Linked DNA regions of Notamacropus eugenii. The protein of the gene in region 2 binds, or shares a complex with, the protein of the main gene of each other region. Links are inferred from orthologs where the notes say so. Each region holds a gene or a part of one and is shown on either strand. Other genes may lie near its edges.

Evidence for each region. Proteins that work in one complex are often made in the same cells at the same time.
Region 1: GTF2F2 (region 2) and POLR2L share a complex: the UniProt entries of both Homo sapiens proteins name them as parts of the TBP-based Pol II pre-initiation complex. The link is inferred for Notamacropus eugenii from reciprocal best matches to the Homo sapiens genes GTF2F2 and POLR2L.

Annotation. Positions count from the first base shown.
Region 1 is NC_092873.1:27,457,208-27,463,221, reverse strand, and holds POLR2L (DNA-directed RNA polymerases I, II, and III subunit RPABC5), read right to left. Parts: upstream 1,049-6,014; 5' UTR 956-1,048; coding exon 861-955; intron 752-860; coding exon 643-751; 3' UTR 509-642; downstream 1-508. UniProt on the Homo sapiens protein: DNA-dependent RNA polymerase catalyzes the transcription of DNA into RNA using the four ribonucleoside triphosphates as substrates.
Region 2 is NC_092877.1:295,657,693-295,664,667, reverse strand, and holds the start of GTF2F2 (general transcription factor IIF subunit 2), read right to left. Parts: upstream 3,015-6,975; 5' UTR 2,769-3,014; coding exon 2,703-2,768; intron 1-2,702. UniProt on the Homo sapiens protein: TFIIF is a general transcription initiation factor that binds to RNA polymerase II and helps to recruit it to the initiation complex in collaboration with TFIIB.

The DNA.
Region 1 (6,014 bases), on a different chromosome or scaffold from region 2:
GGGTGCCCCCTTTGCCCTCCCTGCCACTTGGACTGGCCATGTCCAGGACAGAGCAAGAAGCAGAGTGTGGTGACAGTACCAATGCCCACATGCATTACTAACTGCCCACACATCCGATGTCCTGGAGGAACACATGTTCCTAACCCCCAAGAGGCCTGGGGCAGGGGTGGGAGGCCAGGCCGGAGGCTGGGTCCCAGTGGGCTTGGGATGCCCAGCAGCATGTAGCGGGCAGGACGGTGCCTGTGAGGGGCTGCGGATTGGTGCCAGGGGGTAACAAGACCGAGATCCGGATCCTGACTCCGGCCACCCGCCTGCCGCCGCATCTGTAACCGCCCCTCCCTCCCAGGGCCTCCGGCCCGGTCCCAAGGGGGCGAGACGGGGTGAGAAGGAGCGTCCGGGCTCCGCGCAGCTCCTGGAGGGAGGGGCCCTCGGCGCTTCGCCCAGGACCCCTGAGGGTCTTCCCCGCCCGTTGGTTTGGTGTTCTGGATTGAAGGGGCCACGCACGGAGTCACTTAAAGAACGGGTGTATTTCGCTCCCAGGGAGACGCGCTGAGGCTGGGCCCCGGAGGGCCGGGGTCTCCCGCGGCATCCCGGCCGCCTCGGGCCCAGCTCGCCCAAGCTCGGGCCCGGGGCCCGGGCCGCTCACTTCTCCAGGGGCGCGTAGTTGAGAAGCTTCTCGATCAGGTCCACGTGGGCCAGCAGCATCCTCCGGCAGCAGTAGCGCTTCAGGCCCAGCGCGTCCAGGGCGTCCCTGCAAAGGACGGTGAGGTCGGGGGCTGGCCTCTCCCGGTCCGTGCCCCCCCCGCTGCCTTGGCTGCAGGGGTCCACTAGGACCCTCGCAGTCCCTCGGGGGCGCCTACCCTTCGGTGTACTCCGCCTGCAGCAGCCCCAGGTAGGCCTCCCACTTGTTGCCCACGATCTTGCCGCACGTGAAGCAGCGAACCGGGATGATCATGGCGAGGGCGAGGAGACGGCAGCACCGGCGACGAGACGTCCCTTCTCTTCTGGCCCTCCCTCTCTCCGCCCCGCTTCCGCTTCCGGCGCCGAAGCCCCGCCCCCCCGGCCGCTCCCATTGCCTCGAATGGGGGGGTAGGCTCAGGAAGCGGCTCGGCCCGGCTCCGGGCTTTCTACGCGGGCCCGCACCTCTAGCCCTCTGCGTCCGGGGTCCCGAGTCGCGTGGTTTCTAGAAGCCGCGGCGGCGGCACGAGGGTGGGTTCCGCTCAGGATCTCCCCTCTGGAACGCCGATGGTCTCGCCCGAAGCTACGGCGGCCCGCGCAGGCCAAAAGAGCCTGGCGGGAGCCCGGGCGCGTTTCTCGCGCTGGGTTTGAGTGACAGCTGGGCGGCGGCGGCGGCGGCGGCGGCGGCGTCTGCACTTAAGAGTCCCAAGGCGAGGCCGAGCCTAAGCCGCCGCCGTCGTGGCCGCCTCCGCCCGCGCGTACGTAGCTCGCTCATTCTCTCTCAAGGTGGGCTCCGGGAGCTTCCAGAGCCTGGCCGACCACCCCGGCCCTAGACGGTGCAACTGGTGGAGGCGCCGCCGCCTGGAGCGCGCGCGGTGGCTGGAACCTGTTGCTTGCGGAGCGCCAACGGGGCCACGGGCCAGGTTTTGGCCCCGGGACTTAGGGGAAACTTTCCGTCTTGGCTGGCTGGGGCTCGGGGCTACGGGGGATGAGGGGGAGGAAGGCGGCTGGCCGCCTCTGGTGCCGACAGCCCTTCGTATTTTCTGTGAGGCTCGGAGTCTGGGGAATGGACGTGCTGACCTCGGGGACCTCCCTCCACCTTCTCCAGGACTGGGTTGACGGGAGGATCCCGAGTTCTCCCTGCTCCGGCCCCTGCCCCCCGGGGTCATTATTGTGGCCTGCATCTCGGGTTCAGGAACGTCCCCCCATGGCCGGGGGAGGCTCCGTTGCTCCTCCTCGTCCCCTCCCCCAACTCGCGTACCAGCCTGGCCCGACCCCCGGAGCCGCCCCCCACCTCCCGCGGGTCCCCGCTGGCTGATTGACTTCAGATGCACGAGGTGGGGGGGCCTCCAGGCCAGTCCCACGAGGTGCCCCGTCCTCTTTGGGGAGCTGGAGCGGGCGGCGGCGCTGATGCCGGACTCTGCCCTGCTTTGCAGGCTAGCATCTATCCCTCCCTGTCCCGTCAGGTCCAGTCCGGTCCAGTCCAGCCCAGTGCGTCCTGCCCCCTCGTCCCGTACGATCCTGGCGGGATCCCAGCCTGCCGCTCCCAGACCCGCGGGAGCCTGCTTGGCCCGAGGGGCACCTGAGCTCCTGGGCTCAGGTAAGTGGCTTCAGATCCCCCCCCGGGCAGCTCAGGGAGGAGGAGCCGATGCCCCTCTGCCCCCTCCCCCTCCCTCCTCTCCCCTCTCCCCATCTCTTCTGCCCCCTTCCCTCCGGGCATCCCCAGGCGCTCTCCCCCAGCCAGCCAGGAGGGTCCGCCCTTGGGTCTGCACATAGATGTGGAGGGGGACCCTGACGGCACCCCGGGATAAAGCGGGGTTAAAGGTGGTTTCCTGGGCCTGAGGGGGCAGGGTAGAGACCCTAGTCCCGAAAAGCGGGGAGATCACAGCCCGGTTCTGAGCCGAGGGTAGCGCAGAACCCGGCACTTGGTTTTCGGGAGGTTGCTTGCTTCCCTGTTCCGGCCCAGCCCAGGCCTCCTCGATGGGAGTATCTGCCCCCGCTTCTAGTTCCGCTCTCGGGGACCTAATCCCAGGCCACAACTGGGGAACCCCTGGGAGGTGGGGAGGGCCGACATCTGTTCTAAGCCTCGGGGATCCTGGCGCCAGAGGAGGGGCAGGGATGCCCCATAAGGCTGGCTATTGGGGGTGGGTGGGGGTTGGGGGGCCCTGGCTGCCTTGTGCCAGAGCAGGGCTGGAAGAAGCCCCGGGACAGGCCAGGAGGGAGGGGGTCTCTGAGGGCTGGGCTTAGCCTTGCCATCTGCTTTTTAATGACTGAACCAGGCTCCAGGATTTCGGGGCCTGGAAAATGCTAACCCACAGTGGGGGGGGGCCCACAGGGAGGGCTGGGGCTGCCGACCTCCCTCTCCTCAGTGGGATGCTTAGCTGGCTGCTGGTTTCTGATCTGTGGAGATCCTCAGGCAAAGGCATCACAGGATGGAGAAGATGCAGGGTTAGGGGGCCCTTGGCCTGCTTAGTCATGGGGGGGCTTGCAACTGGGGGCATGGCTTTCCTCCCTCAAAGGGGCATTATGGGTCCCTTAGAGGGTGGAGGTGGGGGCAGGACTGGACTTGAGATTTGAGGGCTAGAAAGGATCTCACTTTATTTGCTCAAGCCCCTCCTTGTATGGGAGGCCAGACAGGGTGAAGGGACTTCTCTAAGGTCATCTAAAAGATAGGGGACATTCTGTTGGACCAGGGTCAGCCTTTATGAAGGGCCATGCTCTCCCTCCCTCTCTCTCCCTCTCCCCTTTCCTTTCCCCTTTCCCTGTCTTCTCTTCCCCCAGGCCTTCCACCCCCTGGGGGGCTCATACTGGGAGGGGGGTAGATCCAGATTCCCAGGCATTCAGTCATTCGCAGCACCTACTATGTGCCAGCAAATACATGCTAAGAGTCACATCACAGAGATGGGGATCCAGCGTCCCTGCTTCTGTCTAGGAGAGACCACCCACATGCAAAACAGGAAGGACTAGTTCCCTGCCAGCTCTGGGGAACAGATACAGGAAGACACATACAGAGGAAGGGGCAGGGGAGCCTGACAGGCAGCTGGCCATCCCACAAGGGGGGAATGAGGAGAGAGAATCTTCCAGGCCTGGGGGCCAGCCAGTGCAAAGGGGTAGGGGTTGGAGCTCATGTGGTGTACCTGAGGTGCCAGTTTTCCTGTGGAGTTACTGGAGCCTGTTACAAAGCAGGGAGGGAGGGCCTTGCCCTGCCTCTGATGCTGCTGGGACACACTTTTTAAGTATTTCAGCCCCTAACTGGTGGGGAGTGACTGGTCAGACTTACCCTCTGGGGTCAGATATGTGGAAAGCGGATTGGAGAGGATCAGAGAGGGTGCTGGAGGCAGGGAGAGACCACTGCTGAAGTATGGGGAGGGGGGAAGTCAGGGAGGTCCTGTGCACTGGTAGAGGGTCACAGGGGCAGCAGGAAGCACCTACTAATCGCTTGCTTCATCCTAGACACCAGGATGCAGCTAGAGACAGACTAAGCATGATCTGTCGTCTGATTCCATTTTTTGGGGGGAGGGTGTAAGAGGAAGAGTTCAGAGCAGCACCAAGTATGGATTCTGGGAGCTGTGGGAAGGGGGAGAGTGCCGTGGGGGGTATCATAAACTCCATCTGCATCTGCCTGGAAATGCCTACTGGCCACCTTGGTGAGGGAGGCTTGGAGCTCAGGAGCCCAAGGGAGCAGATGAAGGGCCAGAGAGAGGGGAGTGCAGGGCCTGACCCTGAGCTTGCCCTGCCCCATGCTGTCTGGTGGGTTTGGGGGCAGGGCTGCCCCTGAGGTCATCTCTAGACAAGACTCCTCTGGGGTCCTCCTCCCATGCTGGCCCCCCCCAAATGCCCTTGGGGGCTGTCTTCAGACTGCAGCAGGCAGGGAGTTCTCACCCACCCTCCCTCCATCCTCCAGTACTTTGCCAGGCTCCTGGGTCTGGGGAAGCAGCCATTCCTCTGCTGTAGAACCTTGGACCAAGTGGAGCCCAAAGCATTCCTGTTTACCATCCTGCTTTCTAGCTGCTTCATTGGCCTGCCCTGATGGGTGTAGCCCAACCCTGGTCCCCCAGATGCACAGCAGTACACACCCAGGTCAGGCCCTGACAGCAGGCGAGAAAGCCTGGGAGAATGTTCCCAACCCCGACCCTCCTAGGACTGTGGGGGTGGGCAGCTTTTGGGGGTTGTAAGTCCATGGAGCATCCACGGAATGCCTCCCATGTTTGGGTGTGGGCTAAGCCCTTACTGAGGGAGCTAGAGGCCAGGTGGCTCCCCGTGAGGACATGCAGAGGCTGGTTCCAGTCACTGTGCACTCCCAGGGATGGAGTGGGGGAGGATCTGCAGCTACAACCCCCAGCTTCCTTCCTGGAAGACCCCAGTCTACCCCTCCCCGGGTGTGCATCCTGTTTTAAGGACCCCCATCCCTCCCCCCGCACCGATCCCCGCTCGATGGATCCTCTTTCCTCTTCCCTGCCCATCCACATCCCCATACCGCCTCTTGGAGCCTCAATTTTCCCAGCCATGGAATGGGAAGGTGGGGCTGGCAGGCTCCTGTGTCTCTGAGCCTTCTCTGGGCTTTGCAGGATATGGCATTTCTTAGGAAATTGTGTTCTACAGCGCATCTTGGCACACTGCCTGCCACAGAGCAGGGTAAATAAATGCTCCTTCCTTTCCCCTTCACATGGTCCCTTGCACACAGGCATGTGTATATATGTGCATGTGTGAGTGTGTGTAAGTATGTGAGTGTGCACATGTGTATGTGTGTGGATGTATGCATGAGTGTGTGTGCTCATGTGTGTGCAGCTGCACATGTGCATGTGTGTGCATGTGCGGCCTGGGCCTGATTGGAGCAAGGTGAAGGCCAGGCCTCTGGCCTCCAGGAACCTGTCCTTGGATGGTCTGGCCTGGACATGGCCTCTGGCAGGCAGGAAAAGAGGGAGTGGGGATGCAGGAGAGCCCCGAGGTGGGGCAATGGTCCCAGGAGCCCTCTAGATCCTTAGAAGGAAGACCTCGTGCCCTCAGCTGGCATTTTGTGAATGTTTCTAAGTTTCCCCAGTACTTTGCCATGGGCTTTCAATAGCCGAAGGGGTGAACTTCCTATCCTCGGGTCTATTCAAGCTAACCAGCTAGCCTCATGAGGTTCTTGCTCTGTGATTCTGTGCCAGCTAGGAGGGTCTCCAGAGGGCCTGAAGGCCCCCTGGGAGGGGTTGGAGGCCAGCCTGGATACCTGGCGAGGCCTCCCGGGGAGCCTGCACTGCATGTGGGCCATTTGGGAGTTGTCAGCCGTCTGTGTGTCCCCAGTATGAGGAGGGCAGGCAGAGGGGCCTCTGCACCAGGAGAGCCTCCCTGCA
Region 2 (6,975 bases):
GGAAATAATAGCATTGTTCAAGAAAAACAGCATTAACGAGACATAAAATATCAAGAAAGCAAAGGAAGATTCAGAGACACAAACAGAAGGGTACAATGTACTGTATGCTTAAGAAAAAAACAAAGTTATACCTAAGTTTCAATTTCATATACAATTCTCTTTTTCTGTTTTTTTGTCTATAGAAATTATATTTGTTGATGGCTATACAAGTTCATAATAAAATCATTAAATTAGAAAAATAAGACAATTTGATCTTTATGGCAGAAAAAAAAAGGAAGAAGCCATGTACTCCAATGTAATTTTACAGATGAGGAACTGAGAGTCAGAAAAGTTAAAATTCTTGGCCAAGATCACACTGGTCTTAAGTTACTGATCTGCGCACAAATCCAGGCCCTTCCAAATTCAATGCTCCTTTTACTATACCACACAGTCCCTTGGGATCAAGCACAAATGCATAGTTTATTTGGCATCAAAGGCACTTCATCACCAGGATCCAGCTTGTCTATCCAAGTTTACAACATCCCTCCCCTTTGTGAACTCTTTGGTCTCTGGCTGTCCCTCACACAGGGCACTCCATCTCCCTGCCTCTGCACAAGCTGCTCTCTTCTCTCTCCCACCTTTGAGAATCCCTATTAGCTTCCTCAGAAGTTCATCTCAAGCACCACCAAAACCAAAGCAAAAGAAAGCCCTGAACTCTTATGTATTTTGTACATATGTGCACGTTGTCTCCTTCAATAGGATGTTGGCTCCTTGAAGACCAGGCCCAGTGCCTAGCAAGTAGTAGGCCTGACACATAGTAGGAGCTTAATGTTTGCTGGCTGAGTGACTCATAATGAAGTGACTTGGGATTTAGGAGCCCTGGGTTCATGTCTGTGCTCTTACACAGACCACTTGGATAACCTTGAGCAAATTACTTAAATTCTCTGGGCCTTAGTATCCTCATCTACGAAAACGTAATGATGAGACTTCCACTATCTCCCTGAACAGGTTGTAGTCAGAAAAGGACTTTCTAAACTTTAAAACACCACGTAAATTATTATCTTTACCCGGCAAGCGAGTTCTTATATTATTGTCTTTATTGCTATTTAATTTTATTCACTTTTTCATGTGCTGACGTGCGTCTCCAACTACACCACAAACTTCTTATAGACAGGGAACACAGATTCTTTATATCGATCACAATGCCTACCCTAGCAGGTATTCAATAATTATTTCTGGATTGATTCAACAGCTTTATGAAATTGTCTTTAAACATGACTAGAACTGGTAAGAAGAATTAGAGCACATTTTGAAAACATGCCAGGATTGAGAATCTGATCAATTCACAGAAAAATAGTTACTGCAGGTGTAATACAATATGAACAAATTAATAAATACATATCTCCTCCTTTGGCCACTCACAGGGTCCATTTGAAATGTGACAATAAGAATGACACTGTGATGAAAGAGGCCTAGAAGCCAGTGGCTTGGCACTTAAGAGGGTTCAAAGCGTGCCTCAGGTACACACTTTATGGATTAGGCTCCTATGAAGTCTGGTGGGGAAAATCAGCGGAGAGGGGCTACCCTCCCACTATCACATCTATCACAACCTGCTTACCCATCCAAGTAATGATCTCCCACCACTGTGCCTAAGCCTGAAGTGCCGTCCCTCCCCCTCTAAAGCTCAACTCCAACATCACCTCTTCCACGAAATGTACCCTGATCCATGCTCACCTTCTTCCTCTCCAACTCTAACCACTATTCTGTTCTGCCTCTGCACCATGTGATTAGCTAACCTCTCCAGGAAGCTTCATTACCTTCCTCCCTTCTACCCTTAAACAACTTCTCCTCTTTTCCTGTTCAATCACTTGTCAAGTCCAACTCTGTGACTCCATTGGGGTGTGCTCCAGCTCACTTTACAGAGGAGGCCCCTGAGGCCCACAGGGCGAAGGCAGCATCCGAACTCGGGCCCAGCGCTCTATCCGTCCTCGGTGGCCGGCAGAGAAGTGACCACATGGCCGGCTGGACTTCTCCGAGCGCAGTCTCCTCCGTCCAGACGCTCCGCTATCTTCCTCCTCCGTCCTGCTCTCTACGGCGCGCTTCTCCCTGAACTTCAGTCACCCTCTTCCTTGCCGTCCTAGACCCACACTTACTACAACCTGCGGATCGTGTCCGTGTACCAGGAGGGCACAAGCCTCATCCCCTCTGCCCTGCACACCCCGCCCCCCCCCGCGCTCACCAGGGGGTCGCCCCCGGGGCCCCAGACTGCGGCCCCTCCCACACGACCGCATGGGACGCGCCGGTTGGACCGGTGGATCTAACCATCACGCTAAGCCTGGGCTCCAAAGCAGACTCGGACACTTGCAGGCTGTTTGACACCCGCGCCCTCCCCGGACTCCCCGCCACGCCGGGTCACTTGGCCGCTCGGTGCCTCAGTTTCCTCCTCTGTTAAATGAAGGAGCGGGACTTCCAGCTCTACACGGATAACCTCACGTTCTGCTCTTACTTTTCTGGGTGCATGTTATGTTTCCCCCAAGTCCAGCCTCCCAGTCTTTGCGTTCCCAACCTCACCCCCTACCCCAAGTGCTGAGTGGAGTGAAACACTGTGACAGTAACTGTCCCGCAATCCACGCTGGGACTACCCCCTGGAGCTTGGGGGAGAAAGGCGGGACCCCCGGTGGGGGAGGGGGCGTCCTGGGGGGCTGGGCTCAGTCGGCCTTTACCTTCACCAGCCACACTCCAGTGTTTTGTTTGGCGCCGGTCAAGTCGAGCTCCCCGCGCTCGGCCATGACTCTGCGCCGACGCCGCCGCCGCCGGTGGAGGAGAAGGGGGCGCGGGTCCGAGGAAGGAAGTCAGGAGGTCTGGGGCCACCGGCGTCGCTCCAAAGCCGGGAAGCGGCTAGTTTGGGGGAGGGGAGCACGCCGCTCCGGAGACCGGGGAAGCCGCGCCTGCGCACTACGTCCGAACCCTACGGTGCCTCGTGGAGGACATACATCCTTCGTTCCGCTCAGGGAAGTGGGCGTGGCTTGTGAAGTATTTGGACAGGAGCGGGGAGCGGGGATGCCGGCTCCTACCGGGCTGTTCCGAGAAGAGGCGCAGTTGTAGATCTCTACGCTGTTGCTTAGTAGGGCCGGGCTCCCCAGAAGGATTACAGAATAAAGACTTGCTAAGGTGTGATGGACGAGCTGTAGATGGACCGGCAGCTGGGGAAGAGCCTGGGGAGAACGTTCGTCAGCTCCCAGAGGAGAGCTCAGGTGACTTCGCCAAGGTCATGCACAACATTTTTTGCATTCCTTACCAAAAGTCTTCCCATGGCTCCGAGCTCTCCAGGGTGCTGACCTTCCCCACACCCTCTCCCCAGATTTCTCTATTCCGTGACCCTCCTCTCCATAGTGATAAACATCTGTTATCACTCAGAACTGCTCCATCTCCGAGAAGCAGTGCAGTGAAACTCCCTCTTCTAGTCACTGCTATGAATGAGTGCCTGGACAGGCATAAAAGAAAATGCATTTATTAAGCGCTTATGGTGTGCCCAGTACCGTGCTAAGTCCAGGGGGATACCAAAACAGGAAGGAGATGGTTCCTGCCCCCAAGTACTTATTCTAGTAGAAGGAAGTTACTGTAAAGGGTGCTTTGATTTGGGAAGTCACTGGGATTGTGAATGATTGGCAAAAATGTTGATGGCATGTGGCACTTGATAAATGTTGACTGATTGATTGACACTACCTTTCCAGTGACAATTGATCCAGTTATGGTTCCAGCTAAGTCGGGGAGGGCTCATTATGCATCAGGGCAGATGGCAAGGCCCATGGATCTGGAGGGCCTCTCAGTAGACAGGGTGGATAATGGAAAATAAGCATGCTAGAATGTGAAATATTACTAAGTAAGGCTTGATGAAATGGGCCAGATGATACACGCAGCACGTGTATGCTACATGTATTCAGAGCAGAGGGAATTATTCTTTTGATAAGCTTTGCAGACTTTCCTGGGTTTGTACTTCTCCTACTCCCCACTTGTCGTGGTTCCCTATGTTTTTATCTCACACCCTCAAATACTTTGTATATAGCTTGTATTTACATATCTATGTACATATTGTCTCCTGCGGTAGAATATAAATAAGGCTTTGAAAACAGAGACTGTTTCCTTTTTTTATTTCCTATGCTTAGCACAATAAATGACACATATGATCCAGGAGAGGAGACTAGAAGGGTCCTCAGAAGCCATTCCAGCAAGCCCCCTTATTTTACATTTCAGGAAAATGAAACCCTGGAAGATTAAGTCACTTGCCTAAAGCCATACAGGTGGTAAGCACGAGAGGCTGGATTTGAACCCAGGCGCTCAGATGTCAAAACCAATTTTCTTTCCACTAAATCACACATTGCACTTAAGAAATCCTTGCTGAATTGAATTGAATTGACTGATGATTTTCAGGCCCTCTACCCTTTTCTTTTCTTCCAGTCCTTCATTCCTTCATTTCCTTTCTGACTTCATTTGTGTCTGGGACCCCATGGTCAGCAGTTGCAATGCTACCTTACCAATTCTGGGTAAAATGATACTATACTATACACTTTCTCTGTTATTGGTTCTGCACAGATGCTTTCTATTGTGTAAACTTGGATCAGTCCCTTAGCCATCTTGGACTTCACTTCTCTTATTGGTGAAATGAGAATTTTGGACTAGTTAGCCTTTGAGGTCCCTTGCAACTCCAGATTTATAATATTATATTATTCCTGGATGAAATCACAAATCCAGAACCACTGACTCCTGCATAAATTGACATTATTGTCACATTAGGTGGGCCTTGCTGAATGCCATGTACTTTTTTTCTATTTGATTCCATTTGAACGATCAAATTCCCTCCCACACCACTATTTTAAACCTTTTCCATTTTTCCTCAGATTGCTAGGTTCGCTTTCATCATAGCATCATAGATATGGAACTGGGAAGGACCATACAGGTCATTTAGTACAAACCCACATTTTACAGATGAGAAAAAGGGTCAGAGCCGGGACATGATTCACCCACAGTGGCACTGGTAGTAGAGCCGACCTGCTCTGACTCCAAATTCAGCAATCTTTCTACCAGAGTCAGGCAACAAGTATTTTTTTTAAAGTACTGAATATGTACCATTCACTTTGCTAAGCAATAGGGATAAAATGAAAGGCAAAAAATAGTCCTACATCCTCTGGGTGCTACATTCTGTGTTAATGACCTTAATGTCTACATTAAAGTGATACTTATTAAAGACAGGTACTACAGGTTGTTGCTATATACAGATACATAATACCAAAAAAAAATTTAGGACCAAGGATTTAGGTTATTGAGTCAAATATCAGTAAACAATCTCCACATAAGAATTTTTTTATTCCTTTGTCTTTCTCATTTATTTTTATTTTTTTGTTTCTGTTTTTTTCTTTTTTAAAATGTATTTTTAACTTAAATACTAAAACTTAAATACACAATAAGAAAAAGAAACATATTATAAACTTAAATATCAAAACAATACAATATAAGAAAAGAAAAGATGAATTGTCATGGGCACAGCAGAACATGAAAGGATTTGCAATACACAGCAATAAATTTCCGTTTCAAGACAGTCTATATAATAAATACTACACATTGTGTTCTGAGCTGTCCATCTTTGTGTCCTTTAAGTTTTCTTTTGTTCTCTGCTGTGCTCTCTTTACTTGTTCTTTCCCCTGCCCCACCCCCCTGCTTCCTTCTCTATCCCAGAAGGCTACAATTAAGTTCAGATATATATGCATAAGTATACATATAAAATACATACATGCATACATACATATACCCTTACATGCATACACTTGCTTATACTTACATATACTTAGATATCTATAATCATATTAATATATAGACATATACATTCATATGCATCTATGTAAGACTGTACTAGACTTATTTGTCCACTGTTTCTCTGAGAGTGGATAACCTCTTCTTTTATAAGTTCTTATTCATTTTTAAGGAAGACTAAAGGAAAAGTTGAGAAGAGCGATATGAGATGGATACGTATATACACGTAAAATCATTCTACATATACTTCTATTTGTCATTTTTTCCTCTGGATGCAGGCAGCATCTTTTATCATATGTCCTTTGTAGTTAATTTGGGTATTTATAAAAGTCAAAATGACTTATTTGCTCCAAGTTGTTCTTAAAACAATATTGCAGTTACTGTATATGTTGTTCTCTTGGTTTTGCTCATTTCATTCCTCATTATTTTATACATCTATCCATGTTTTTCTAAGACCATCCAGCTCATTATTTCTTATAGCACGGTAGTATTCCATCATATACCACAACTTGTTCAGTCATTCCGCAATTGACAGGCATTCCTGCAGTTTCAAATTCTTTGCCACCACAAAGAGAGCTGCTATATTTTAGAACATATAGATTCTTTTCCTTTTTCCCTGATCATCTTAAAACAGAACTAATAGGTGGTATTGCTGGATCAAGGAGTATACAAAATTTTACAACTCTGGGCATAAATACAGATTGCTCTCCAGGTTAGTTTACAGTACCACCAACATTGTATTGGTGTCCCAATTTTTTCATATTCCCTCCAACATTTGTCATTTTCCCTTCTATCATTTTAGCCAATCTGATAGATATGAGATATCTTAAAGTTATTTTCATTTGCATTTCTCTAATCAATAATGATTTAGAGCTGTTTTTCATATGACTATATTAGCTTTGATTTCTTCATATAAAAATTTCCTGTTCATATCCTTTGTCAGTTGGGGAATGACTCATATTCTTATAAATTTGACAGAGTTCTCTATATATTTGACATATGAGACCTTTATCCAAGAAACTGTCTATAAAAAACTTTCCCACAGTTTTCTGTTTTCTTTCTAATCTTGGCTGCATTGGTTTTGTTCATACCAATCTTTTTTAAATTAAATGTAATCAGAATTATTCATTTTATATCTACAATGCTCCCTATCTCTTGTTTACTCACAAATTCTTCTGTAAGTCTGAT